Callithrix jacchus: one gene and its partners. The protein of the gene in region 1 interacts with the protein of each later gene in a pairwise test. Links are inferred from orthologs where the notes say so. Each region holds a gene or a part of one and is shown in the gene's direction. Other genes may lie near its edges.

Evidence for each region.
Region 2: the proteins of SDCBP (region 1) and DMC1 interact in binary tests that used the Homo sapiens proteins (3 or more experiments, as listed by UniProt). The two-hybrid records come from large-scale screens. The link is inferred for Callithrix jacchus from reciprocal best matches to the Homo sapiens genes SDCBP and DMC1.
Region 3: the proteins of SDCBP (region 1) and ABI2 interact in binary tests that used the Homo sapiens proteins (3 or more experiments, as listed by UniProt). The link is inferred for Callithrix jacchus from reciprocal best matches to the Homo sapiens genes SDCBP and ABI2.
Region 4: the proteins of SDCBP (region 1) and CBR3 interact in binary tests that used the Homo sapiens proteins (3 or more experiments, as listed by UniProt). The two-hybrid records come from large-scale screens. The link is inferred for Callithrix jacchus from reciprocal best matches to the Homo sapiens genes SDCBP and CBR3.
Region 5: the proteins of SDCBP (region 1) and SEPTIN3 interact in binary tests that used the Homo sapiens proteins (3 or more experiments, as listed by UniProt). The two-hybrid records come from large-scale screens. The link is inferred for Callithrix jacchus from reciprocal best matches to the Homo sapiens genes SDCBP and SEPTIN3.
Region 6: the proteins of SDCBP (region 1) and REEP6 interact in binary tests that used the Homo sapiens proteins (3 or more experiments, as listed by UniProt). The two-hybrid records come from large-scale screens. The link is inferred for Callithrix jacchus from reciprocal best matches to the Homo sapiens genes SDCBP and REEP6.
Region 7: the proteins of SDCBP (region 1) and TMEM239 interact in binary tests that used the Homo sapiens proteins (3 or more experiments, as listed by UniProt). The two-hybrid records come from large-scale screens. The link is inferred for Callithrix jacchus from reciprocal best matches to the Homo sapiens genes SDCBP and TMEM239.

What each region holds. Positions count from the first base shown.
Region 1 is NC_133517.1:14,796,753-14,800,845, forward strand, and holds the start of SDCBP (syntenin-1), read left to right. Parts: upstream 1-1,293; 5' UTR 1,294-1,320; exon of another isoform or gene 1,321-1,339; intron 1,340-4,093. UniProt on the Homo sapiens protein: Multifunctional adapter protein involved in diverse array of functions including trafficking of transmembrane proteins, neuro and immunomodulation, exosome biogenesis, and tumorigenesis.
Region 2 is NC_133502.1:209,475,728-209,479,697, reverse strand, and holds the start of DMC1 (meiotic recombination protein DMC1/LIM15 homolog), read left to right. Parts: upstream 1-1,170; 5' UTR 1,171-1,332; intron 1,333-3,480; 5' UTR 3,481-3,513; coding exon 3,514-3,561; intron 3,562-3,970. UniProt on the Homo sapiens protein: Participates in meiotic recombination, specifically in homologous strand assimilation, which is required for the resolution of meiotic double-strand breaks.
Region 3 is NC_133507.1:124,726,992-124,730,491, forward strand, and holds part of ABI2 (abl interactor 2), read left to right. Parts: intron 1-1,737; coding exon 1,738-1,913; 3' UTR 1,914-3,500. UniProt on the Homo sapiens protein: Regulator of actin cytoskeleton dynamics underlying cell motility and adhesion. Functions as a component of the WAVE complex, which activates actin nucleating machinery Arp2/3 to drive lamellipodia formation.
Region 4 is NC_133522.1:42,208,720-42,212,959, forward strand, and holds the start of CBR3 (carbonyl reductase [NADPH] 3), read left to right. Parts: upstream 1-1,440; 5' UTR 1,441-1,547; coding exon 1,548-1,836; intron 1,837-4,240. UniProt on the Homo sapiens protein: Catalyzes the NADPH-dependent reduction of carbonyl compounds to their corresponding alcohols. Has low NADPH-dependent oxidoreductase activity.
Region 5 is NC_133502.1:189,775,209-189,778,708, reverse strand, and holds part of SEPTIN3 (neuronal-specific septin-3), read left to right. Parts: intron 1-1,865; coding exon 1,866-1,965; intron 1,966-2,546; exon of another isoform or gene 2,547-2,669; intron 2,670-3,500. UniProt on the Homo sapiens protein: Filament-forming cytoskeletal GTPase. May play a role in cytokinesis.
Region 6 is NC_133523.1:1,413,199-1,417,126, forward strand, and holds the start of REEP6 (receptor expression-enhancing protein 6), read left to right. Parts: upstream 1-1,128; 5' UTR 1,129-1,210; coding exon 1,211-1,325; intron 1,326-3,928. Other genes in the region: PCSK4 (proprotein convertase subtilisin/kexin type 4), read right to left, coding at 77-265. UniProt on the Homo sapiens protein: Required for correct function and survival of retinal photoreceptors. Required for retinal development.
Region 7 is NC_133506.1:10,320,811-10,324,261, forward strand, and holds TMEM239 (transmembrane protein 239), read left to right. Parts: upstream 1-1,406; 5' UTR 1,407-1,408; coding exon 1,409-1,490; intron 1,491-1,575; exon of another isoform or gene 1,576-1,612; coding exon 1,613-2,082; 3' UTR 2,083-2,213; intron 2,214-2,533; 3' UTR 2,534-2,951; downstream 2,952-3,451.

The sequences.
Region 1 (4,093 bases):
TATAATGAGAATTTCATAAATGCCAAAAAAAATCCAAAATTGGAAACATTTCTGGTCCCAAGCATTTTGGCTTAGGATCAGCTTGTTTTAAACTTGTTCATGAAAATTTACTGTAATTGCTTTTCATTCTATTTTTTAGGGGAGGGGTGTCAATTTTCCTGGATTTTCTATGTTAGATAACCATCTCATCTGAAAACAAAAAGTTTTATTTTCTCATTCCCAATCTACCTTGTGATTATTTTTAAACGTCCATTTTCATCAGCCTAACTACATATAACCTTACTGAGAGCAAAGTTTTCTTTTTTTATTTTTAATTTTTTATTGCATTTTAGGTTTTGGGGTACATGTGAAAGTTTTCATCTTTAGTTGTCACCTCTTTTACCCTCAGATTTTTTTTATTAGTTTTGCCAGATATGATTGTGGCACTAATTTAGCTATAAACTGCTTGTAAATGCTATTTTGTCAAGCACTCTACAGTATTCCACGGTAACTATGATTATTCTTGGGTAAACTGTGCCTCAGTCTGTCTGTAATGCGATGTTGTATTTATTTTATAGACTGATGTGAAGACCAAATAAGACTATACACTAAGTTCGTAGAGCTATGGCTGGCACATCATCAGCCCTCAAGAAATCATCGTTATGTTTTTGTATTAGGAAACAGTAATTACTTTTGCGCAGCACCACACAGAACTCTCAACAGCGAAGGAATATCAGCTCAGGCGGACAAAGATTAGTAACTTCCCCTTCGACCCCCCACATTTCAAACAGAAAAATAAGGCAGGAGTTGAGAAGGGGTAGTGAGTGAGAGGAACATTTGTGAGCCTATGGTGGAGAGGTACAGCAAGAGGAGAGTGAGGTTAGGACAGCAGTGGTGGAAGTCGAAGGCATCCCAAGAGGGAGCATGGGCTCCCGAGACCTGTTTGAATTGTAGGCGACCAGAACCAAGCGACCGTGAGCTGCTATACACACGGTAGTGAGTGGGTGGAAAGGGGCCAGCGGGCACGAACTGCCAGAAGAGCGGAGAAGACGCGGAGCATAACCGCGGGGCAGCGGCCAGTTGGCACAGCGGGCCACCTGCACGGCCCTACATTGCCAGATACCGGTAGCTGCAGGAACTACCCACGCCCAGGTCCCTTTACTCCCGCCGCCCGGTTACCTAGGGAACCGGATCACCTGACCCGGGGCCGTGCGCCTGCGCGGGCGGAAGGCGGGGGCGGTGCCGTGACGCGCCTCGGGGGCGGTCCTCCGGCTCTCGCCGCTCTGCTACCCTTGGGCCTCAGAAGTCCGTGCCAGTGACCGGAGGAGGCGGCGGCCGTGAGTGAGTCCTTGTGGGCTAGGTGAGAGGCCGAAAGGGGGCAAGAGGGACGCCGGTGCCGGGTCCCGGGCGCGGGGACGTGGGGCAGAGGCGTGATGGTCCCCGGGCCTTTTAACCGAGAGCGTCCTGGTCGCAGCCGTTTTCGGGAGGCGGCGGCGACGCCCTCTCCTCAGGGGCTCCGCGCCCCTCCCTGCGCCGTGCTGGCTGCGGGGCAAATTTGCGGGAGCAGCGCGCTCTGCTCCCCGGGACCCCGCGGGTTTCGAGCTCCTCTCCGGGCTGGGGCTGGGGCTGGGGTGGGTAGAGCCCCGAGGCACGGCCGGGTGAACGCCGGCAACCGCGGCCCCAGCTCTGGGATTCTTCCTGGGACCGTCTCTCGATCCTCGTTGTTCTCGCTCGCTAAGATCTCGAGACAAGTAAAGAAAGAGCCTCTGGCCGCGGTTTCTCCCCGCGTTTCTTGGGCTGCGCTTCCTTTTGGGTTATTTGGAACGTCCTGTCTCCCCGCGTTTCTTGGGCTGTGCTTCCTTTTGGGTTATTAGGAACGTCCTGGATTTGAAAGCAGGAAGGAGGTGTTTAGTGGGCGAAACCTTGACTTGTTTGGAAGCGGGTGGGGAGAGGTTGTTCGCCCTGAGCTTTTTCCTGGTGCTGTTGGACCTGAAGGAGAAACGTTTCCCGCAGAGTATGTTTAGAAGGAAATACTCCTGAGATCTGATGACTCACAGCTTTCCTTTCAGGATTTCCTTGTAATGATGGGAAAGGGAAGGCATATGGATGCGGAAAGTTTTTACTTTGATCAAAGTGGGATTATTGAGTCATGGAGGCTTCGAATGTGCACATTTTTGAAAGGAGTTTCTAGGATCATCTATTCTATATAACCGCATACACATTTACGGTTATTTTTTCCATTACGTACTTTCCTTAGAAAGTACACTCGGTTTACCGAGCTCTAACATCCGCTTGTTTAGTCTCTCCATTATAAACGAAATTGAACTTCAGAGACATTTTTAGTTTTGGGCATTATAGGAAAAGATGTAAAAGTCATAAAAGGGGAAGAATTTGCTAATGGTTGCCAGTTAAATGTACTGTTTAATTAAACAGTTTCTTAAAATGTGCGTGGCACAACTATTTTCCCTGTTGCCAGATTTGGGTCCTTTTTATAGGTATTAAATGCCAAGAGATTATAAAAAAGGAAAGCTCCCCAAACAACTTTAAAATACTTTCTACACTTAGTAATAGTTACGTTCACATTGATTAATTTTCTTTCAAGTGCTGCCAACATCTTTTGTAAATATTGTCTTCGAGTAGGTAAACGGTCACGTGTCTCAAAATTTAAGCAGCATACAAAGGTATATAGTATGAAGTCTCCTTCCTTTTGGCAGGCAGCCAACTGTTTTAAATTTCTTGGGTATTCATCCGGGAATATCCTATCTACACAGGCAAACATACAAACTGCATCTGTCTCCTTTCTTTTAACATAAACGTTAACATTTTATATACTGCTCCACATTTTGCTCTTATTTTTCCAGTTATTGATAATATTTTGGAACTTTCTAATATCAGCATATATAGCTTTCAGGTCTTTGGCTGTTACAGTCAGTGCTGCAGTGAATGAACTTTTACATATGTTGCTTCCTTTGTGCACATGTGTTTGTACAGTTCAGGTCTTGAAATGATACTGCAGAGTTGAAGGGTATTTGAATTTAGAATTTTAGTAAGCTACTGCAAACTCATTCTCCATGGGAATTGTACTAGTTTACGCTCCCACTAGTAGTGTATGAGTGTTTCTCAAAGCCTTGCTGTCGGAGAGTATTGTCAAACTTTGGATTTTTGCCAGTTCAGTAGCTGAGAAATGGAATCCTAGGGGTAAGAATTAATTATTCTACTTAGAGTGGACTTTATATGGACATACTTCTTAATGCCTGATCTTCAGAAACTCCCAGGATATTTATTAAAAAGCAGAGTACCTAAGTCCTTCCATGAAATTTGTATCTGTTCAGGAAGCTGAGGTTTTTTGTTTTTTGTTTTTTGTTTTTTTTGAGAGGAGTCTTGCTCCGTTGCCAGGTTGGAGTGCAGTGGCGCAATCTCGGCTCACTGTAACCTCCGTCTCCTGGGTTCAAGCGATTCTTCCGCCTCAGCCTCCCGAGTAGCTGGGACCACAGATGCATGCCACCACGCCCGGCTAATTTTTTTGTATTTTTAGTAGAGACAGGGTTTCACGATGGCCAGGATGGGCTCGATCTCTTGACCTTGTGATCCGCCTGCCTCAGCCTTCGAAGTGCTGGGATTACAGGCGTGAGCCACCGCTCCCGGCCCAGGAAGCTGTTTTTATAATAACTAGAGCCTCTGGTAATTTGGCTCTGATGAATAGCCATATTGAGAACATTGCTCTGGAAGGCTGCTTAGGATATATAAAATTGTGTTTCTAGACTCCATGTATGAGCTATCTGGAATGCTTACCATCTGGGGGACATGTTATTTTTTCATTTTTTTACTTTTTATTTTTTTTGAGATGGAATTTTGCTGTGTTGCTCAGGCTGGTCTCAAACTCCTGGGTTAAAGCAATCCTCCTACCTCGGCCTCCCAAAGTGCTAGGATTACAGGCATGAGCCATGGTTCCTGGCCTGATACTTTATTTTTATTTTTTACATTTTTCATTCATTTTATGAATAGTTCGCATAAGTGAAAATAAAGAGATAATGCAACACAACTTTACTAGAAATTTTAATAACTGCTTCAACAAAAGAAACACAAATTAGTATTCCAGATTTTCCTGGTTTTG
Region 2 (3,970 bases), on another chromosome or scaffold:
GTCTCCGCGTGAGGGGAGGAGGAGGGCGCTGCCAGCAATGGCGCTGCTGGCACGAAGGCTGGCCCGCAGCTTCTATTTAAAAGCTGAACCGAAATATGCCAGGCGTCTGCAGTCTATTTAAAACTCCAAGTTAAGGCAGAGGAAAATCACTCTCCACCCTGAATGGGCCTCGGGTGTCTCAATCACAGACAGGAGTGGCGAACGGGGAGAGTCACGGAGTGGGCAATGAGGAGCGCTGCGGGAGCAGGGCCAAGCCGACGCCGGCCATGGAAACCAGCCCGGGGCCGGGCGCGGCGGCTCCGCCTGGAATCCCAGCACTCCGGGGGGCCCGGGGGGCCGGATCACCTGAGGTCGGGAATGCGAGACCAGCCTGGCCACGTCTGTACCAAAAATACAAAATGAGCCAGGCAGGGTGGCGGGTGCCTGTCATCCCAGCTACTCGGGAGGCGGAAGCAGGAGAATCGCTGGAACCCGGGAGGCGGAGGTCGCGGCGGGCCAAGTTCGCGCCCTTGCACTCCAGCCTGGGCAACAGAGTGACAAACTCCGTCTCATAAAAAGGACCTCCGATTCGAACTCCTAACCCGAGGCTCCAGCTGCAATCCCTCGCGACCCTGACCTTTCGCACCCGTAGGCCACCTCTGCTCAGCGCCCCTCCCCAGCTTCAAGGCTTCCTCCTCAGAGTCCTCTCCCTAATTTGAGCGAGGTGGTCCCCTCGAGAGACGCCCCAGCTCAACAGTCTCCTCCCTTCAAGGTCCCTCTCCTCGGCGCGCTTCCTGCACAGCGCCCCTCCCCCACTCCCTCACCTCAGCGCGCCTCCCAGAGGAGGCTCCTCCTCGTTTCCCGCCCCTCGGTCCTCGCCTCTAACCCTCACCCTGCGCCGTGCCCGGGCTCCCTCCTCGCTACGCCCCCTCCAGGCCACACCCTCGGGTTCCCCCAGCTACTGGCCCGTTTGCCCCCCACGCCCCTAGGTCCTAGCCCAGCTCCCATTGCTTTCCGCCCCGCCCACTGCGGGGGCCCGCCCGCTCCCCCTCGCCCCGCCTCCTCATCTGCGCCCCGCCCAGCCCCTCCGTCCTCGCCCCGCCTCCTCATCTGCGCCCCGCCCAGCCCCTCCGTCCTCGCCCCGCCTCCTCATCTGCGCCCCGCCCAGCCCCTCCGTCCTCGCCCCGCCCTAGTCGGTTGGCGCCAAACCCTGTGGACAGCGGCTCGCGGATCTCCAGGCTCCGCGTTCTGTGTCCGAGTTAGAATCCTGTCAGCTGAGGACTGTCGGGAAAGGCCGGGCGGGGGCAGAGGGGTTTCACCTTGAAAATCTCGGGGAAACTGGGTACGAGGGGGGTAAGTGGCAAAAACCGACGGCGTGCGAAGACTCTGAGGGGACGCTCGTTTTGCCATGGCGCGCTTCCCTTTCTCGCTCCTTTTTTAGGGCCCTAGTGACTTGGAGCTTTCCGCTCCGACCCCTGGGGAGGAGTTTTGGTGACCTTGAGGGATTTCCAACCTCCTTATTTTAAATCGAATCGGACCTAAGTCCAGGAGGGCCCGCCTCGTCCTCCTGACGAGGGAATCCGGTGTCGGGAAAACGTCCGGCGGCCGCACGGGGGTCTGCCCAGGCCTCCTGCGGAGGGAGACGTCGAGGGCGACCCGACCGCGCTGCTGCCCCCTCCAGAGGTGGCCTTCAGCCAGGGGATGGGGCAGCCCTCCCTTAAATCCAACGGTTCGGTCCATCGAAGGCTCCGTGAGAGACGGGGACAATCTTTTCATTTCATCCCGGGGAGAAGAAATGGATGACGGGGACAGTAAATGCGGAGCTGGGGTGCTCATACTTGTAGCCCTCTGAAGGACAGACCCCGGAAGACCCCGTCCACACGGTCTTGGTTGCCTTCCATCCTTTGCTGTTTGCGGTGCCCGGTGGTCAGACCCTGCTTCTGCCTTAGAATTAATAATAGTCCGTGGCTCGCGCCTGTAATCCCAGCACTTTAGAGGCCGAGGCGGGCAGATCACGAGGTCAGGAGATCGAGAACATCCTGGCCAACATGGTGAAACCCCCTCTCTGCTAAAATACAAAAAATCAGCTGGGCGTGGTGGCTCGCGCCTGTAATCCCAGCACTTTAGAGGCCGAGGCGGGCAGATCATGAGGTCAGGAGATCGAGAACATCCTGGCCAACATGGTGAAACCCCGTCTCTGCTAAAATACAAAACATCAGCTGCGCGTGGTGGCTCGCGCCTGTAGTCCCAGCTAATTGGGAGGCTGAGGCAGGAGAATCGCTGGAACCCAGGAGGCAGAGGTTGCAGTGAGCAGAGATCACGCCACTGCACTCCAGGCTGGGCGACAGAGCTAGACTCCTCAAAAAAAAAAAAAAAATAGTCCGTTCCCTTTGTTCTAGGGTCCAACCCCTAACTTTGGTATCAAATGAGGAAACGGAATAGACCGAGAAAAATGATTATTTGGATGGCATTTTATTGTAATAAGCACAATCACAGTTCGTGGATTCCTGAGATTTCTTTTTGAGTCTACAATCTTAAAGACTTTCACTGCTTTATCAGCTTTAATATTATGTATCCACCATATTTTTAAATCTTAACAAAATCGGCCTGGCACTGTGGCTCACGCCTGTAATCCCAGCACTTTGGGAGGTCAAGGCGGGTGGATAATGACGTCAGGAGTTGGAGACCAGCCTGACCAAACATGGTGAAACCCCATCTCTACTAAAAATACAAAAATATACCGGGCATGGTGGTGCACGCCTGTAATCCCAGCTACTTGGGAGGCTGAGGCAGAAGAATCACTTGTACCCGGGAGGCGGAGGTTGCAGTGGGCCAAGATTGTGCCACTGCACTCCAGCCTGGGTGACAGAGCAGGACTCCTCAAAAAAAAGAAACTAGTAAATACTGTGAAAGAAAGTATAGCTAATGTTCTATGAAACAAAAAGGTAGATGTCACAGGAGTGTCCATTCATAATCATAGCAGGCAGGAAGGCCTTCATCATAAATGAGAAAAATAAAATCCATTTATTGAGGACAAAGTTGGAGGTGCCAGGGAGGACACAAGGAAGAATGATATAATGTCAAGGTTCTTAGAATGTTGTTAAACAAGAAGGGTTAAAAGCAATATGCACTTCTAAATAACATTTCAAGGCAATAATAAAGATATTACATAGTCATGATTAGCTGTGCAATGGAAATCAGCTGATAAATATCACTGTTGGGGAAAGACAAAAAATTTGTCTTTCCCCCAATTTGCCCCTCAGGCACCTGTGTGAGTGTGAGGACACACATACACACACACACACACAAAAGAAATAATGCCACATGCCTTGCAGAAAGAAGATAGGCAGGCCTAGTCTTTCCAAGCTAAATACTTCTCTTCTAGTCCTTGGTGACTTTGAAATGAAATCAGAGGCCTCAGGACAAAGGACTACTCTTTTTTTCCCCCTGCTCCCCTCTCCTCAGAGGACTACTTCTTAAATATATTTCTTATTTTCCCAGAAGCGATTATTTTTCTGTTGCTCACCTTTCAATATGAAGGAGGATCAGGTTGTGGAAGAACCAGGATTCCAAGATGAAGAGGTATGACTAGAGCGTTGAAAGATATGTAGACATTCAGTCATTCCACAAAAATCAAGTTCCTTCTCTGTTAGTTACTATTTTTAGAAATTGAAAGTAGAAATAACACATAGTTATATATTGCAAGTATGTAACAACTTCTTTGGCAAGGATGCTAAGATTAGCTACTTAGCAACTGGTATGAAAGTATTTTAATAACTTAGCAGCTGCTATGGCCATACTGATACCTATACACAGTGATACCGAATAGCAGCCTTGTCCTAGAGGAAGGAGTTTAGGATCTGGAAAGGAAGAAGGTTGAGAGAACATATTTAAAATAGGTCAAATGTTGTTCCAGTCTTTTGGGTAAAATTTTAGGGAGGGCATGACAAAGGTAATTGACTTCCAAGCCCTTTCAATATTGGTGCTTCTT
Region 3 (3,500 bases), on another chromosome or scaffold:
CCAGGTTGGTCTCGAACTTCTGACCTCAGCGATCTGCCTGCCTTGGCCTCCCAAAGTGCTGGGATTACAGGCATGAGCCACTGTGCCCAGCCAAGGGTTTGTGTTTCTTTAAGCATCATTAATGTTATCTTTCCTTAAAAAAGCAGTAGAAAATACTGGGTTGACTAGAAATGCTAAATATTCTAAATTGTATTTTCTTATATTTAAACTTGTATGCCATTTAACTACATTTGATTGTCTTCAGGCATTTGGTTGTATATTGAGAAATGCACGCTGATCTCTTCCTAGCAAGGATCCTCTATTTTCTGGCTGGGTGCAGATGGCTCACTACTGTAATGAGTAGGAGGCCAAAGGCGAGTGTATCACCTGAGGTCAGAAGTTCAAGACCAGCCTGGCCAACATAGCAGAAACCCGTCTCTACTAAAAATACAAAAATTAGCTGGGCATGGTGGCATGAGCCTGTAATCCCAGCTACTCAGGATGCTGAGGCAGGATAATCACTTGAACCTGGGAGGCGGAGGTTACAGTGAGCTGAGATGGTGCCACTGCACTCCAGCCTGGGCGTTAAGATTGAGACTGTCTCAGAAAAAAAAAAATATTCTGGTGTTCCTACTATATCACTCTAATGGAAAATATTCACAATTTAAGAAAGCTATTTAATTTTTATTAAAACAGGCCAGAAACAAATTTTCTTTCACTAGGGCACATTACATTATATCAAAAGTCCTTGTTGTGGTTTGTTTCCCATTTATTTACGTGAGGTATAAGGTCACATGACAAACTAACAAAGACAGTATATTTGTCTCAGAACAATGGATAGATGGAGATTTCACTGAGTGGTATAAAAAAGGTACAGGAGATGAAGAGGTTGGAGCAAAGGATAACTCTTCAAGTGGATTTGAGCAAGTTACAGGGTATCCCAGTATAACTGAACTGTTGAAGTTGATATAATACTTGGGAATCAGAATCTGGTTGAAATAAGATAACAGTTGAAATAACCACTGAGATAATGACTGAAAGAGCCAAGTTACCAAGTGATGTAAGCAATGAAAATCACAGGAGAGCTTATAGGTATCTTGGTTTTCTTGGCACTTTTAGTCTGTTATTATGGTTATATTAAATTGCTTGACATAATGCAGCATATGTTTTGAAAGAATATATGTAGCAGACTCCCATCATTCATACATTTAACTTGGGGAAATTCAAACACCATTCTACTTAGTGAAAGAGGCATAGGCTCCAGAGAGTGAGAGGAAGAAGACCGATATCTGCTGTTCATTAGTCTGTCTGGTTTCTCACTTGTCTCTCATAGTGTATCTCATTGCACTAGTAAAATTCTAAGGTAAAGAAAAGCTTTTTTTTTTTTTAAACCACAGTATGGTATCTCAACACAAGCTCAGATGAAGAAACAGCCATCTTTCTTGATTCTAGGATTGTGTATCTCTTTAACAAGGTACTTTCCCGTAGGCTCTTGAAAGGTAATCAAAAGCACATTTGAGTAAATGTGCTGTTTCATCATTTGTACTCAGTGTAAAGCCTAACATCCATGGAACATGGAATTTCGTTGTATGTGACTGGGTATAACTTAGAAAAAAATACGTTTTGGTTGGTGTTTAGAAAGTCACCATGAATGAGTGCTATAGGATTTGGGAAAGGATACATATTCACCTGCTTGGTTCTATCTTTCTAGGAATATTATTCTCTTTCACATCCTATTTTGTTTTTCTTCCCTCCCAGTTGTGGCAATTTATGACTATACAAAAGACAAGGAAGATGAGCTGTCCTTTCAGGAAGGAGCCATTATTTATGTCATCAAGAAGAATGACGATGGTTGGTATGAGGGAGTTATGAATGGAGTGACTGGGCTTTTTCCTGGGAATTACGTTGAGTCTATCATGCATTATTCTGAGTAGAGCTCAGCAGGGATGTGCTTGCCTCACAGGAATAGTCAGGTCTTCCCAGATTATCTGAAGGCCCTGGAGATTCCACTCCAGTAAAGTAGAATGAAGGATACAAATGATAAAAAAATACACTTTTTTGGTTTATCCCCCAGTATTAAAAACAAAAAAAGCAATCTGAGTCTGAACAAATGGATCTTGCTGCCGTCATTTGTACTATGCTGAGTTGTCGGGATTGAAATAAAGTGACCATTTTTTGTATATGTCAGAGGTATAACATAACTGTGTAGCCAAAACAAAATCAGATTAAGACTGATTCAGAAAAATCTGGGATCTTTCTCAGGAATACTGTATGCCCTTGGGATTTCTCCTCCTACAGAATATGTGGCATTGGATGTTCTTCATTGCCTGTGCTAAGGGGTTAACCTCATGGCCCAGTTGGTACCCTGCCCATTCTTTTCTTCCACTATGAAGAGGAGGGAACCAATATTTAAATACCACACTTAACCATTTTTACTGTTATTTCAGATGGCATTTTTCTTCTGTAACACTGTAAATTCTGCATTCTCTCAGCACTTGAGTGCACCAGATGAGTGCATGGTGAACTCACTTGCATCCCTTCATATTTGTTTGTGGATTATAAGGATGATGAAATGTGAAAGTCTCCCAACATTCTGAGGGTGGCAAACGATTGCCACCATTTGATTTTAATGTGCTGCTGCATGAGACTGCACTGTTGCTAATGGCCGGTATGCCCAGATGTGAAGTGTGGTAGGCTGGTTCATGTGCGGAGGTGGGTGTGTGAAGGTTCTTAAGGTTCTGAAGAGACTGAACTGTGGAAATGCTCTTAGCAGGCATCCCAAACCCTTGCCGTCGGTGCTGTTTTGAGGAGTAGGTCTTGGAGTTCAGACCAACTATGATGATCACTTCTTTCACTATTTAGAAAATCGTATTCTACTCTGGAAGAGAATAGTGGTTATTTTCAAGTCTCTTGATAGTCACTGGGAATAAAAGGTTTGTTAATGTGCTCTCTGGATGTGATTAATGGCCAGTATTAATTGCTGCTGTATCATTGACTCACTTAGCTGCAGAAAAGGTAATACTCTCCTGATTTTGTATTATTGGACTCTTAAGTAGCTGCTTTTAGTGAGAATTTAAACCTGTCTCAGATTAAGAATATCATGAATAAGATTAATAGGCCAAAATACATATCTAATCACATTGATAAAAATTAATATAACTGACACAAACAATAAAATACATTTCCCCCATCTGTACAATAAATACAGCTTCAGATCCAATGGAGTTTGTAGGGCAGATGGCTTTAACCTTCACTACTGTAGTCAGTATAGGAAATATTGAAAAAATCCAGGAGGGCTTGCCTCTTTGTAGGTGGTTACTGTGACGGTGGGCCAGCCCTGTTCAGGCCCAGAGCTGCTAACATGGGCTCTACTCAGTCCCAGTGACTTGGCCAGAATAGAGCTTTGCCAAGTAACTTCCCTGTGCTAGGTGAAAGGGGAAAAGCAATAGCTGCATATATTTCAAACAAGGTCTTGAACAAGTTCAGAAAGAGGAACTTGATTGAAAAATGAACAAGTGTAG
Region 4 (4,240 bases), on another chromosome or scaffold:
CAGAGACACGGGCAGGTTAGCCAGCTCTGCGTGGAAAAGGCGGAGGAGTCATGATGATGTCATAGCTCTCCCCAAATCCTAAAATCACTGATCAAACAACTCAATTTACACTGAAGATGATGGATGGGGATCTGATTTTGTGCCCACAGCTTGACACACATTTGGGAATTTTGTTTCAGTTTAACTTTCTTTGCCAGTACACAGATCTCACTGTGAGAATATATGATCAATCCAGATCTCTATAGATCTACATCCTCCTTGGACAAACCTAAAAATCCAGATCTCTATAGATCTATATCCTCCTTGGACAAACCTAAAAATCCAGATCTCTATAGATCTACATCCTCCTTGGACAAACCTAAAAATCCAGATCTCTACAGATCTACATCCTCCTTGGACAAACCTAAAAATCCAGATCTCTACAGATCTACATCCTCCTTGGACAAACCTAAAAATCCAGATCTCTATAGATTATATCCTCCTTGGACAAACCTAAAAATCCAGATCTCTATAGATCTACATCCTCCTTGGACAAACCTAAAAATCCAGATCTCTACAGATCTATATCCTCCTTGGACAAACCTAAAAATCCAGATCTCTACAGATCTACATCCTCCTTGGACAAACCTAAAAATCCAGATCTCTACAGATCTACATCCTCCTTGGACAAACCTAAAAATCCAGATCTCTACAGATCTACATCCTCCTTGGACAAACCTAAAAATCCAGATCTCTATAGATCTACATCCTCCTTGGACAAACCTAAAAATCCAGATCTCTATAGATCTACATCCTCCTTGGACAAACCTAAAAATCCAGATCTCTATAGATCTACATCCTCCTTGGACAAACCTAAGTGCAGACACTTTCAGCACCCAGAGGAGTTAGGTCGGGATTAAATAAAAACATTCCCTCCCACTTGGGGGCACATCCACTGGGGATCCCAGAGCGATGTCACCTGCCCACAACTGCTAATGTGCTCACAGGTCATCTAACTCCCTCTCCTGAGTTCTTTTAAGCAAGCAAGGGGACCTCCGTCCAGAGAAGCAGTTACTATGTCTAAGCGAAGTCACTGCATCTTAGGAAAAAGCAAACATTCGCATCTCGCAGAGCATGATGGGCGCGCACCCAAGAAAATTACTCAGCACTTGTTTTTCTCACTTTGGGATTTTCCCAAAATAGTTTCTTCAGTCCAGCTGCCACGAATCTGGAGCCCCCGACTGACCCACCACAGTCGGATTTGGCTTTGGGGAAAGCACACCTCGCAGATCAGCCGGCGGCTCATTGCCCAGAACCAGAAGGGCGCAGCGTGGGCACGGGGCGGGCCCGGGAGTTGAAACATTACGAAATCTTCGGCACAGACTGCCCCTCCTCGGAGGGGAGGAACCCAGACCGTGGGCCTTGTTCTTTTAAGACTCGCAGCACTGGATCGCAGAACTTAGTCTGCGCCGCGGCTTTGACACTGGCCAGGCTCCACGGGGCGCGCCCCAGGTGGTCCGAAGGCCGGTCCGCCCTGCACGCAGGTGTCCTGCGCGCCCCGCTCAGCCATGTCGTCCTGCAGCCGGGTGGCGGTGGTGACCGGGGCCAACAAGGGCATCGGCTTGGCCATCGCGCGCGAACTGTGCCGGCAGTTCTCGGGGGACGTGGTACTCACGGCGCGGGACGTAGCGCGGGGCCAGGCGGCCGTGCAGCAGCTGCAGGCGGAGGGCCTGAGCCCGCGCTTCCACCAACTGGACATCGACGACCTGCAAAGCATCCGCGCCCTGCGCGACTTCCTGCGCAAGGAGTACGGAGGGCTCAATGTGCTGGTCAACAACGCGGGCATCGTCTTCTGGGGTAGGTGCAGGGCTTGGGTGCGGGGAGCCGTGGAGCACTCCGAGGGTGCGGGGCGGCCAGCCGCAGGATCCCCACCCATCCACTCGAGTGACCGAGGAGGGCGCGCCGGCACCTCGGGATGCGGTCAGCCCTCGCCTTCCGCGAGGTGGTTTTCGCTTTCCATAATCCGCTGAACCCCAGGCGGGCCCGGGCGGCAGACACAGCGCGCCCCGCCCGCCCGCCTGTGCAAGCCTGTGCGCGGCCCCCGGCCTTCCCCGAACTGTCAGCCGCTGCTCTGTGCAGGAAAACTGGCCTCCTGGGAGCGGGCAACGCCCTGCTAGAGTTCATCAGCTTTCCTCCCAACGCAAGAAACATTTTCTCTTTAAAGAAAGGGTCACCGCTCGCTTTGGGCTTTCGCTTTCCTTCAAAGGGCGCATTCATAGATGCCCGGAGGCATTTGCTGGAGAAAGGAAATGAATCGCTAAAACAAGATTAACGCGGACTTGCACTTGGTGGACTTCACAGTTTGTTTAATGCAGAGCTTTGATAGACTCTGGCAGAAAGGAAGCGAGCCTTCGTTCCCTCCTCCGGCGAGTTTGTTTGTTACAAAATATGTGCGTGCGGTCTAAAGAGCATCTTCCTTAAGGAGAGGGGCTGGATCCGGAGATTACTTACTCTAAATACTACTCAAGAAAGTTACCGGCTGGGCCGGGCGTGGTGGCTCACGCCTGTAATCCCGGCACTTCGGGAAGCCGAGGCAGGAGAACCGCTTGAACCTGGGAGGCAGAGGTTGCAGTAAGCCGAGATTGCGCCACTGCACTCCAGCCTGGGCGACAGAGCTAGGCTGTCTCAAAAAAAAAAAAAAAAAAGTTGCTACAGAGAGATAAACAAGCCAGCTTCCCTTCCAACCTAGTGGGGAAGAAAAGCCTAAGAAACAGGAAGTAAAATGAAGGATGGGGGAGCAGAAGTCTCCGTCCATCCCTTTGGCCCTTGGCATTCTGCGTGGCTGTGCATGAGGACCTGAGACTTTCTTTTACTCGCACCTGCAATTCAGCCTGCCGGCTTCCTGGGAGCTGGGGTGCAAGACTGGGGGTTAACACTCCCTAAAGCAGCCCTCAGCCATGGGCTGGGAGATTGGTGGCTAAATACCCGGCTTCCTGGACAACAGGTGAAGGGACTTCCCCTTGCCTCTCAAGGTGTGGGGAATGGACCAACAGCAACTGCTAACCTGCTCACTCATGGCAAGGCAGAACCTCCCGCCTTGGGAAACATGGTGAAACCCCATCTCTACTAAAAATACAAAAAGTAGCTGGACATGGTGGCTCTCCCCTGTAATGCCAGCTACGCAGAAGGCTGAGGCACAAGAATCCCTTGAACTCAGAAGGCAGAAATTGCAGTAAGCAGAGATCACACTCCTGCACTCCAGCCTGGGCAACGGAGCAAGACTCTGTCTCAAAAAAAAAAAAAAACCTGCATTTCAACAGAATCCCCAGTTCCCTTCTTTAAGAAGCAGTAGTCAAAGCCAAGTATTCTCAAGGTGTGGCTGGAGACCAGTGGCTGTCACATCACCTGGAACTTAGAAATGCAAACTCAGCCCAGGTGTGGTGGCTCATGCCTGTAATCCCAGTACTTTGGAAGGCCAAGGTGGGTGGATCACTTCAGGTCAGGAATTCGAGAGCAGCCTGGCCAACATGGCAAAATGCCGTCTCTGCAAAAATTAGTCAGGCATGGTGTCACGTACCTGTAATCCCAGCTACTTGGGAGGCTGAGGCAGGAGAATCACTTGAACCCGGGAGGAGGAGGTTGCAGTGAGCCAAGATCGAGTCACTACACTCCAGCCTGGGCAACAGAGTGAGACTCCATCTCAAAACAAAAGAAAAAGAAAAGAAAAGAACTGCAAATTCTGGAGCCCTCACCCCAGCCCTTTGCAATGAGGCCCAGGAAACTGTTTTAACAGGCTCTGCAAGTGATTCGGATGGATGCACACTAAAGTTTGAGAATCACCGACCTCGTTTTTCAAAATGGTTTTTGGGCCGGGCGCGGTGGCTCAAGCTTGTAATCCCAGCACTTTGGGAGGCCGAGGCGGGTGGATCACGAGGTCAAGAGATCGAGACCATCCTGGTCAACATGGTGAAACCCCATCTCTACTAAAAATACAAAAAATTAGCCAGGCACGGTGGCGCATGCCTGTAATCCCAGCTACTGGGGAGGCTGAGGCAGGAGAATTGCCTGAACCCGGGAGGCGGAGGTTGCGGTGAGCCAAGATCACGCCATTGCACTCCAGCCTGGGTAACAAGAGCGAAACTCCGTCTCAAAAAAAATAAAATAAAATAAAAATGGTTTTACAGTTAACTTGTTTTTCCTTTAGTCATTAGGAGTTAGGATCCACTTTGTCATGTGAGTTTCAGATGGGAAAATACAACTT
Region 5 (3,500 bases), on another chromosome or scaffold:
ACCAGTAGTTGGTCAATTAACTGAAAAAGTTCTCTGAGGCGAGGAAATCATTCTCTAAAATGATGTTTACAAGTGTTTTTTTTTTTTGAGACAGAGTTTCGCTCTTGCTGCCCAGGCTGGAGTGCAGTAATGCGATCTCAGCTCACTGCAGCCTCCGCCTCCTAGGTTCAAGTGATTCTCCTGCCTCAGCCTCCCAAGTAGCTGGGATTACAAGCACACACCACCACACTCAGCTAATTTTGTATTTTTTTTTTTTTTTTAGTAGAGATGGGTTTCTCCATATTGGTCAGGCTGGTCTCCAACTCCTGACCTCAGGTGATCAGCCCTCCTTGGCCTCCCAAAGTGTTGGGATTACGGGCATGAGCCACTGCACCTGGTCACAAATCTTAAATGTTTAAAAATAAATATTTTAAGAAGTTACTAAGTTAAAATAATTTAAAACATATATAAGCAGGACAATGGGCATGGAACTCAGAATCCGCTAAGGTGTGTACAATAACTCACCTGCCCAAAGCAAAACAAAACATATTCATCACATTCATTACACATTCTTTTCCTGAAGCACCAAGGCCTCTTCATTGAGGAGAAGCCCACCTTTAATGCCAAAGCAACTCACCTTTATCAAGTCTTTCTGAAACATTCAGCTTAAATTTCAGAGAATCAACTCTCTTCAGGCATCTGGCTTCAGTCTATCTAATTACAATAACAAGTACACATCAGGCAAATAGATTTGGGAACAAACAGCTGGCTCCTGATGAACAGGCATCCCACCTGGTGGAGCAGGTCTGGCTTTTGTACACCAGGAAGTAGCCTAGAGCTCTGAGAGTTCCGAGGGCCTGGGCATCTGCAGTAGTAGGTTTCACAGAGATGGTGTAAAGCATCAGTGAGTCTGCTTGGGTGGACTTGTTTAAGAGGGATTCTGTCTGTCCTTGCTAGGCCAGAGGTGTTCAAAATCAGTAAGCGTATGTAAAGCACTATGAAAAGTATGAAGTGGCTGGGTGCATTGGCTCACGCCTATATTCCTAGCACTTTGGGAGGCTGAGGCAAGTAGATCACCTGAGGTCAGGAGTTCGAGACCAGCCTGACCAACATGGTGAAACCCCATCTCTACTAAAAATATGAAAATTATCTGAGCACAGTGGTGGGTGCCTGTAATCCCAGCTACTTGAGAGGCTGAGGCAGGAGAATTGCTTGAACCCAGGAGGTGGAGGTTGCAGTGAGCTGAGAACTCCAGCCTGGGTGACAAGAGTGGAAACTCCATTTAAAAATAAAAGCCAGGTGCAGTGGCTCACACCTGTAATCCTAGCGCTTTGGGAGGCTGAGGCAGGTGGATCAACTGAGGTCAGGAGTTCCAGACCAGACTAACCAACATGGCGAAACCCTGTCTCTACTTTATAAAAATATACTCTCTATTTTATAAAAATATAAAAATTAGCAGGGCATGGTGGTGCATGCCTATAGTCCCAGCTACTCAGGAGGCTGAGGCAGGATAATCACTTGAACTCAGGAGGCAGAGGTTGCAATGAGCTGAAATTGTCCCATTGCACTCCAGCCTGGGCAACAAGAGCAAAACTCCATTTCAAAAAAAAATGTATGAAGCGCTCTGCAGCTGAAGGAGAGCTGATTCCTGAGGTTAACCAGCCGGGTAGTAGTACAATCGGGATTCGACCCAGGACTCCTGATTCTGAGTGTGGTGCTCTTTTCAATCGGCTGAGCCTTGCCCTTGCCATCAGTGGTATCTCTGAATGAGCATCAGAAGAGTGTGGTTCAAGGCCACAGGACCATAGGTCGTCCTGCTCCTGGATACCCAGGTTGTTGGAGGATGACGGTGCACATTGTCTGGTTTGTGTTTCTGCCCCGTACAGCAGGAGAGCATGCCGTTTGCTGTGGTGGGAAGTGACAAGGAGTACCAAGTGAATGGCAAGAGGGTCCTTGGCCGAAAAACTCCATGGGGGATCATCGAAGGTAATTCACTGCATCTTCTGGAAGAACTCATTGCTGATCAGTTATCCAGTCACCATTTATTAAGCATCTATAGATCAAGGCACTGTCTCAGGACACATGAAATGAATGCCAGCCAGATTCTGCCCTTAAGGAGCTTACAGTCTCATTGAGAAGATGCTTACAGGCAGGATTAACAAGAGACCAATGTAGCACCTGACTGGGTGCACTGACTTGGTGTATCAAAGGAGTTCAGAACATGGAGAGTTTAGTAAGACCTGGAAAACCTGGAGAAAGTTTTCATAGGAAGGAAGATGTGATCTGACAGACTGCTGGAGGGTTGTTCAGGTGTTGCCATTTCCATTTTATTATGAATGGATGTGACCTTGGGCGGGTCTTGATGGTTCTGAAAGTGGTCAAAGAATCACTTTAATGATTTCATTCAATATGATAACCCTATGAAGGGAGGAGGGCGCATGCTCCTGTTCTCAGAATATAAGGCACCAAAGCACCAGAGCTCAGGTTAAAAGCCTTGCCCAAAGTCACATAATTTGTTAGTGGTGAAACTTGATTTCAGACTCAGATTTTTTTTTTCTTTTTTTGAGATGGAGTCTCATTCTGTTGCCCAGGCTGGAGTGCAGTGGCACAATCTCAGCTCACTGCGACCTCTGCCTCCTGGGTTCAAGCAATTCTTCCTGCCTCAGCTTCCTGAGTAGCTGGTACCACAGGTGCGCACTATGCTTAGCTAATATTTGTATTTTTTGTAGAGACAGTTTTGACATGTTGGTCAGGCTGGTCTCAAACTCCTGACCTCAGGTGATCCACCTGCCTCAGCCTCCCAAAGTGCTGGGATTACAGGCGTGAGCCACTGCACCCAGCAATTTTATTTATATTTATTTATATTTATTTATTTATTTATTTGAGATGGAGTTTCGCTCTTGTTACCCAGGCTGGAGTGCAATGGCACGATCTCGGCTCACCGCAACCTCCGCCTCCTGGGTTCAGGCAATTCTCCTGCCTCAGCCTCCTGAGTAGCTTGGATTACAGACATGTGCCACCATGCCCAGCTAATTTTTTGTATTTTTAGTAGAGACGGGGTTTCACCATGTTGACCAGGATGGTCTTGATTTCTTGACCTCATGATCCACCCGCCTCAGCCTCCCAAAGTGCTGGGATTACAGGTGTGAGCCACTGTGCCCAGCTTTATTTTTATTTTTAACAGAGATAGGGTCTCACTGTATTACCCAGGCTGATCTTAAATTCCTGGGTTCAAGTAATTCTCCTGCCTCGGCCTCCCAAACTGCTGGGATTACAGGCATGAGCTCTGGTGCCCAGCACCATGTCTTAATCCTCATTGTGTTCCAACAGCGCTAGGCCAGTGATTTGCAGATACTAGGTATTTAGTATATGTTGAATTGGATTTATTATGTAGTGCATGACCTTTTTAAAATGGTTCAGTTGGGCCAGGCACAGTGGCCCATGCCTGTAATCCCGGCACTTTGGGAAGCTGAGGAGGGTGGATCACCTGAGGTTGGGAGTTTGAGACCAGCCTGACCAAC
Region 6 (3,928 bases), on another chromosome or scaffold:
CCCTCCCACTTGTCGGGGTCTGGGGCCGTCCAGTCCCCTCGAGCCCCCACTTCCTGTCCATCCCGGTCCCACCCACCGGCCCCAGGTTGACGAAGCCGAATTTGCGTGCCAGGCGCTCGGCCTCCCGGTTCCCCTGGGACACCCGCACGGCCCAGCTGCTGACATAGATGGGGGCCCGGGACGAGGCCCACCCCACAGCCAGGGGGCCTACGAGGGCCAGGGCCAAGGCCAGGCGCAGCCATAGCGCAATCGGGGCGGGCCTCATGGACGCGGGGCGGGGAGGGGGCGGGACCTGAGCAAGCCCCTCCCCCGCCAAACCGCCGAGGGGGCCCAGGCGCCCGCCACGCCCCCGGCGCCATGGCAACGCGGAAGGCTTCGACTCCCAGGGGGCCTTGAGGCTACCCCCGCCGAGAGGCGCGAAGATCTGACAGAAGCGGGAAGGAGGCACGCCTGCCGGCCTTCCGCAGACCCACAGCCTCGGGAGCCTCAGTTCCCCCATTTGTACAACGACAATAATCTAAACCAGAGAAGGGGAGTCACTCGTGGTAACGCGTCCAGCACTTTCTTTGGCCTCGCCCACTTTCCCACACACCCCCTCCTTCGAGAATCAGCCCGGCCTCCTATCCGGCCCAATCAAAATCGCTCTATCGAGCAATCCCGCCTCCTCCAATAAGCCCCGCCCAATTCCCCGCCCCTACTAATCAGCCCCGCCTCCTTTACGGATCAGACCGCCCCTCCTCCGGCTTCACCAATGAATCGCGTACCGTTTCCCCAATCGGCTCGGATTTTTCTCCAGCCCCGCCCACAGGCTCCTCCTTCCACCGCGTGCCGCGCCTCACCCTAGCTCCACCCCCCTCAGCGTCGCAGCCAATAATCCCGTCCCCTGACACCGCCCCTCCAATCAGCTACGTCTCGCTCCCGCCCGGCCAATCGGTGCCCTGAACTGGTGCGCCCCGCCCTCTCCAGGCGGGGTCTGCGCAGTGGCGGCCGCAGCCCCCCCAGAGGGCGATGCGGCGGGGGAGACGGGGCAGGCCCCACCTCCTTTGTCCGCCGTGCCCTCCCATTGGTCCGGGCGGGGGGCCGGGGGCGGACACCGGCGCGGGGCCCGGACAGCTCGGCTCCCGCTGCGAGAAAGCTGCGCGCGTGCAGCGGGGCGGGCGCGCGGGGCCGCGGGCGAGCTCGAGCAGCCAACGCCGGGCGCGCCGGGGCCATGGACGGGCTGAGCCAGCGCGTGGAGCGCTTCCTGGAGCAGAGGAACCTGGTCACCGACGCGCTGGGGGCGCTGGAGGCCAAGACCGGGGTGGAGAAGCGGTATCTGGCTGCAGGTGAGCGGTCGGCGATCGCCCGTTTCGCCGACGGGCACATCGAGGCCACGGGCCCGGGGGTCGCGGATCGGACTCCCTCCCCGGCTGCGGGGTCCGGTCCGGCCGGTGGAGCGTGCGGGGTGACCGGGACCTCGGGGTCCGCCCGCGCCCCCCTTTCCAGCCTCCTTCCCGGCGCTGGGTGCCCGCCACGCCGAAGTCCGGTTCTTCCAGTTGCCCGGTGGCCCCGGAGGGGTGGGGGTGGGGATGCCCGTGACCCGCGCGTTTCCCCGTCCCCTGCCCCCCGTGGACTCCGGGAGGGGAACGGACCGTCCCTGGGGGGCTACCGGGGGGCTGCCCAGGACCCTCCTCCCGGCTGGCCTAGTCTCCTTCCCCCGGCTCAATGGCTTAGTGCCACTGCGCGTAAATATTTAAGACGAAGCTGGGTCGTCTGACAGCTGTGATGGGGGGAGGCTGGACTGGCGCCCGCGGAGCTCCAGATCCCGACACCCCGATTGTGACTCCATGTTCTCCTGGTCCTTTCCGCCTTGGTGACACTGTGCGGCCCTGCCCCTTTCCAAAACTGTCTAGAGCGCGCATGTAGCAATCGCTCCTTAAATGCCTCCCTCTCCACCTTTAAAAGTTTTTTTTTTTTTCTTTTTTTGAGAGGGAGTCTTGCTCTGTTGCCCAGGCTGGAGTGCAATGGCGCGATCTCGGCTCACGGCAACCTCCGCGTCCCGAGTTCAAGCAATTCTCCTGCCTCAGCCTCCCGAGTAGCTGGGATTACAGGTGTGCGCCACCATGCCCAGCTAAATTTTGTATTTTTAGTAGAGATGGAGTTTCACCATGTTGACCAGGCTGGCCTCGAACTCCTGATCTCAAGTGATCCACCCACCCCGACCTCCCAAAGTGCTGGGATTACAGGCGTGAGCCGCCGGCCCTGCCCAGCCTAAAACTTTTTAAAATTAACTTTTTTAAGAGACAGGGTCTCACTATGTTACCCAGGCTGGTGTCAAACTGGGCTCAAGTGATCCTCAGCCTCCCGAAGCTCTGGGATGACAGGAGGGAGCCACTGTACCCAGCCTTTCTTCCCTTTGTGTGGTGCTCCCAGCCCCACTGGCCCTGCCTTCTTTTTCAGGGAGCCTGGCAGAGTAACTCACAAGGATTTTCTCTAGCCTGGGGCGCAGTGGGTAGCGGGCAGTGCCACTTTTTTGAGCACCTCCTGCAGGCAGATCCCAGGACTCCAGTTTCCCCCGTTTTCCCACCATCTGGGAGTTCCCATGCCTGGCAGCCCCAGGACAGTCTGAGATCTGTTCCCAGACCCTGGAGGTCCCCAGGTGCCTGGTCCCATGTGCACAGCACAGCAGGTGGCATGGCCCCCTGTGCCTGCCCCGGGGAGCAGGCCCCTGACCTCTGCCCTCCCTTTCCACATCCCTGGGGCCAGTGGGCGGGAATTGAGGTCATAGAGCGCCCAGGAGGCAGGCAGCAGGGACGGGCTGGCTGGGGCACTGTGTTGCCAGGGAGGAGGCTGAGGTACAGGGAGGCAGGGGCTGCCTATGTGCCTGCTCTGTCTGAAGCATACGCCCCCTCCACCCTGCCCACCCCAGTCCCATCTGCTGCTAATCTTGGGGGCTGTGCCCCGTCCACACTTCCCATGTTCAAGGTCATCCTCCCAGTGCTGAACCTGCAGAAAAAGGGATTTAGGGGAGGGACGCCCTGGGAGAGCCATTCCTCCCCCACCAGGGAGGCCCGGGGAAAGGTGGCGTTCCCTCATCCCCCTGTATCCCCCTCCCCCGCAACCCCGCACCTCCTTTAAACCCATAGGTCCTACACCCCTGGGTAACATGAAGAAACTCAGAGGAGACAGTGGCCCGGAGGCCGCATAGCCTGCTGGGACCAGCTGGGGGACCCCTCCTACCCCGACCTTGGGTGCTTGTCGATAAAGACTGATGCTGGCCGAGGGGAGGGCTGGGCTGCGGAACTTGGGCGTCTGCCCTTTGGTCGGCAAGTGGCCTCTATCTCTCTCTGCAGATAGCAGCCCCAGGGGAGGAGAACGGAGGCTGTCCCAAGCCTTCTGAGCCCAGAGGTTCCCTGTGTGACCTTGGGCAACACCCACCCAGCCCAGTTCTGGCTGTTGCATGAGACAGTTCAGGGAAAGCACAGAACCTGGCACACAATAGGCGCTTAATAAATGCAGTTGTCACAGTCATTCTTTCCAGAGCCAGGTTCAGGATTGGGGCAGAGCTGGATGCGGACACACACACACTCTTCTCTCTGAAGACCCTCCTCACTAGAACTGTGTTACAGTAGCCTGAAGGCGCTTAATAATTGTACAGGAAGGCCAGGTGCAGTGGCTCACACCTGTAATCCCGCCCTTGGGACACAGAGGAGGTGGGGGGGGACCCTGAGGTCAGGAGTTTGAGACCAGCCTGGTCAACACGGTGAAACCCCATCTCTACTAAAAATACAAAAGTCAGCCTGGCAGGGTTGTACACGCCTGCGGTCCCAGCTACTCGGGAGGCGGAGGCACGAGAATCGCTTGAGCCCAGGAGGCGGAGGTTGCAGTGAGCTGGGATTGTGCCACTGCGCTCCAGGCTGGGCAACAGAGCGAGACTCCGTCTCAAAAA
Region 7 (3,451 bases), on another chromosome or scaffold:
TTATGAGGCCAGAGCAGCAGCAGCAGCCCCCTCCATACCCCAGGGCCCCACCTGGCAACAGGTCACAATGCCCCAGGTACCCTCCTAGAATGCTGACCAAAGTGGGAGCAGGTGAGGAGGGTTTGGTGGGTGAGTTTAGTGGATGGGGAGACTCCTCAGGAGCCTAATTCCCCACTCTGAGCCTACCCTTGTGTCTACCAGGGCCCTACCCCTTCCTCCATTCTCACTTCTATGATCTCTTTTAGGACTAGCTCTTCCTGTTACCTCCACCTCTCTCCATGACCCAGCTCTGTTTACCCAGACCCAAAGCCCTTGCAGATTTGATCCCAGTTCCTCCCAGGGGTCTGGATGCTGGGGAGGGGTCGTGTCATCCAGTGCATGTCCCCCTGGGGCTCTAGCTGGGCCCAGCTCCTGGACAGTGTCCTAGGGCTGGGGGCACTAGGGATGACAATCCAGGCAGTCTTTTCCACAACTGGCCCAGCCCTACTGCTGCTGCTATTGCTAGTCAGCTTCCTCACTTTTGACCTGCTCCATAGGTAAGTGGACAGCAGCCTGGCAGGTGGGCAGTCCAGTGGACAATTTTCCTAAGCCCTCTCTCTCCGCAGGCCCACAGGTGGCACACGGCCACAGCACAAACTTCTCACCAGGGGCCAGAGTCAGGGGGCCGGTGAGGGTCCAGGACAGCAGGAGGCTCTACTTCTGCAAATGGGGGCAGTGTCAGGACAACTTCACCTCCAGGATGTGCTGCTGCTGCTGCTCTTGGGACTTGGCTTGCTCCTGAGAGCCTATGGCATGCCCTTGACCCTGCTTGGCCTGGCCTTCTGCCTCCATCCTTGGGCCTGAGAGCCCCTCCCAAAAACAGTGTCCTTCAAATATACAATGGCCATCCTCCTTCCTCAGGCCCCGTTTTCTCCTTCCTGGCTGGGCAGGTGGGACATTACCCCTTTCTTCCCAGCCTGAAACTCACAGGACCTCCAGTCCCATAACATAGGTATTGGATACCTGGGTCTGAGTCTTGGGGCAGCAAGAGAAGGCAGGATACGAGCCAGGGAGCCCGGGGAAGGATGTGGCAGCTATCTCAGAGCCTGTGGGTTTGGGGCAGCCACTCTGGCCTCTTCTGTGGTTCTAGAGAATGAAGATCCAGACAGAAAGACTTGTAAGAGAACAGGGTGGAAGCGGGTAGATATCAGCCAGCAGGGAAAGCAAGGAAGGGTCAGGCATCCAGGGAGGGCTTTCCATGAGAAAGCATGATAAGTACACCTGCACGGCTCCGAGGATCCCCTGCCAGCCTGGACGGTCCATGCAGAGGGACTTGGGTGGGCCTCACACCCTGCAGAGGCTCCTCTCTTGGCAGGACCCCACCCTAGCCCGGGTCACAAAGGGGCTCCTCTGGGGAGGGTGGGGGTAGATGAGAGTGAGGACTTGGATCTGCCTGCCAGGCCATCCTGGGCACTGCAAGAAGCAACATGACTTAGGAACTCTGCCCAGAGGTAAGTCTCAGGCCCCAACTCTGTTGCCCCACCCACCCATGTTCATGCCCTCCTGACCCCTGCACCCCCTTTCTGCCCTCCTGAGGTCCCAGGCATCTCCAAGACCCTGGCCCTCTCCCCAGGTGCACCAGCCGTGATGCAGCAGCCTCGAGTGGAGACAGATACCATCGGGGCCGGCGAGGGGCCACAGCAGGCAGCGCCCTGGTCGGCCTGTTTCACACGGCAAGGCTGGGTGCACTGGTTGGCATCCCATGTGCCCCGGAGCTGGATCCACTGGTGGAACACCTCGAGCTGGCGGCAACCGCTGCAGCGCCTGCTGTGGGGTCTGGAGGGGATACTCTACCTGCTGCTGGCACTGATGCTGTGCCATGCGCTCTTCACCACTGGCTCCTACCTGCTGAGCTCCTTGTGGCCCGTCATGGCTGCGGTGTGGCGCCACCTGCTGCCGGCTCTCCTGCTGCTGGTGCTCAGTGCCCTGCCTGCCCTCCTCTTCACGGCATCCTTCCTGCTGCTCTTCTCCACGCTGCTGAGCCTCGTGGGCCTCATCACCTCCATGACTCACCCAGCTTACGCTCAGAACTTGGATCAATAGAAGGGCAACCCCATCCAGCTGCCTGCATCTGTTGAGCCCTGGCCTAGGGCCTGAAACCCTGACTGGAGAGGAAGGGCAATGGGACCAGGACCCCCTGGCTTGACAGGCCCCAGACCTCCAGTCCCTAGCAGGTAGAGTGGCCTGACCCCTGGGCACCTTCCCCAAGCCATTGCTGCAGCTTCCTGGTGTGAGGGGCTGGGGACTTTGAGAAGAGAGGCCAGAACAGATGGCTTAGCCATTGGTAGAAATGGCTTAGCCAGGGGCAGAGCTTGGCCAAGCCACCAAGAGCGCCCATGTGGATGTGGTGATACCCGTGAAGCCCCCTTGGCAAGTGACAGCATCGTTTTCTCACAGCCACTCAGCTGTCTCAGCTTCGGAGTCACTGAGAACTTCTACCTGGGTACCCCTGGCCTTGCCATTCCTCCCACCAATCCCCTCTTTCCATTTCCAGGAGAACCACAGACTCTAGAGAGGGTCCCAGTGACAGAAAACCTATCAGGGAGAAGGCTGACCAGAAGCCTCAGGAGACCTCAACTCACTCGCCTTCCAGACCTTGCAGCCCATGCATTGTCCTCCCTAGACTTCCTTCTTCCAGCCTCAGTCCACATTCCCAAGTCTGAGAAATGGACCAACTGGGGTCAGATACTCACTCTCTAAGAGTCCCAAGGTCTGTTATGGAAAAACGATCAAGAAGTCCCATTTCACACACTTACACAATGTGTGGCCTTGGCCAATTAATTCATTTGAGCCTCAGTGTTAGGTGGGCCACCCCTGTCATGGGGTTGTTGTGAGTCAAAGGCAATATCTGTTTGTGAAGCATTTTGTAAAAACCAAAAAACTATAAGATGCTGTTTTGAGCTCTAAGAACATTCTGTAGGCTCAAAAATCTTTTGACCCCAAAGTCTGCTGAAGAAATAGGAAGCTTCTCTGGCTTTCAAATCAATTCTCCGTCCTAGATAGAATTTTGGCGCTAGAATGGTTAACAAAAGGTTGGATAAGTGTGGACAAGATGTAAAAGGTCGTGTGCCATGAAATCTCAAAATGTGCAGATGTTGGAACTATTTTGATTGTGAAATGCTTGGGCCTGGGGCAGGTTGCCAGGCAATGCTTGCACAGCTCTGTGAGTGGGGAGAGCATAGCCTCAGGGTTTCCAAAACTGACCCAGCAAGCCACCCAGGCACCAGAAGGGCCTTGGAAGAGGAAATCCTTTGATGCCCTGAATGCTGTCCATTTGTTTGCCTGCTGGCCCCTCCAACAAAACATTGAGTGATTGCTTATCACCAAGTAAGGTACATGATAGACAACTTTATCCACACCTGACCCCCACCCAATCCCTGGTCATCCCAACTTCTGCCCACTTCTGATCCCT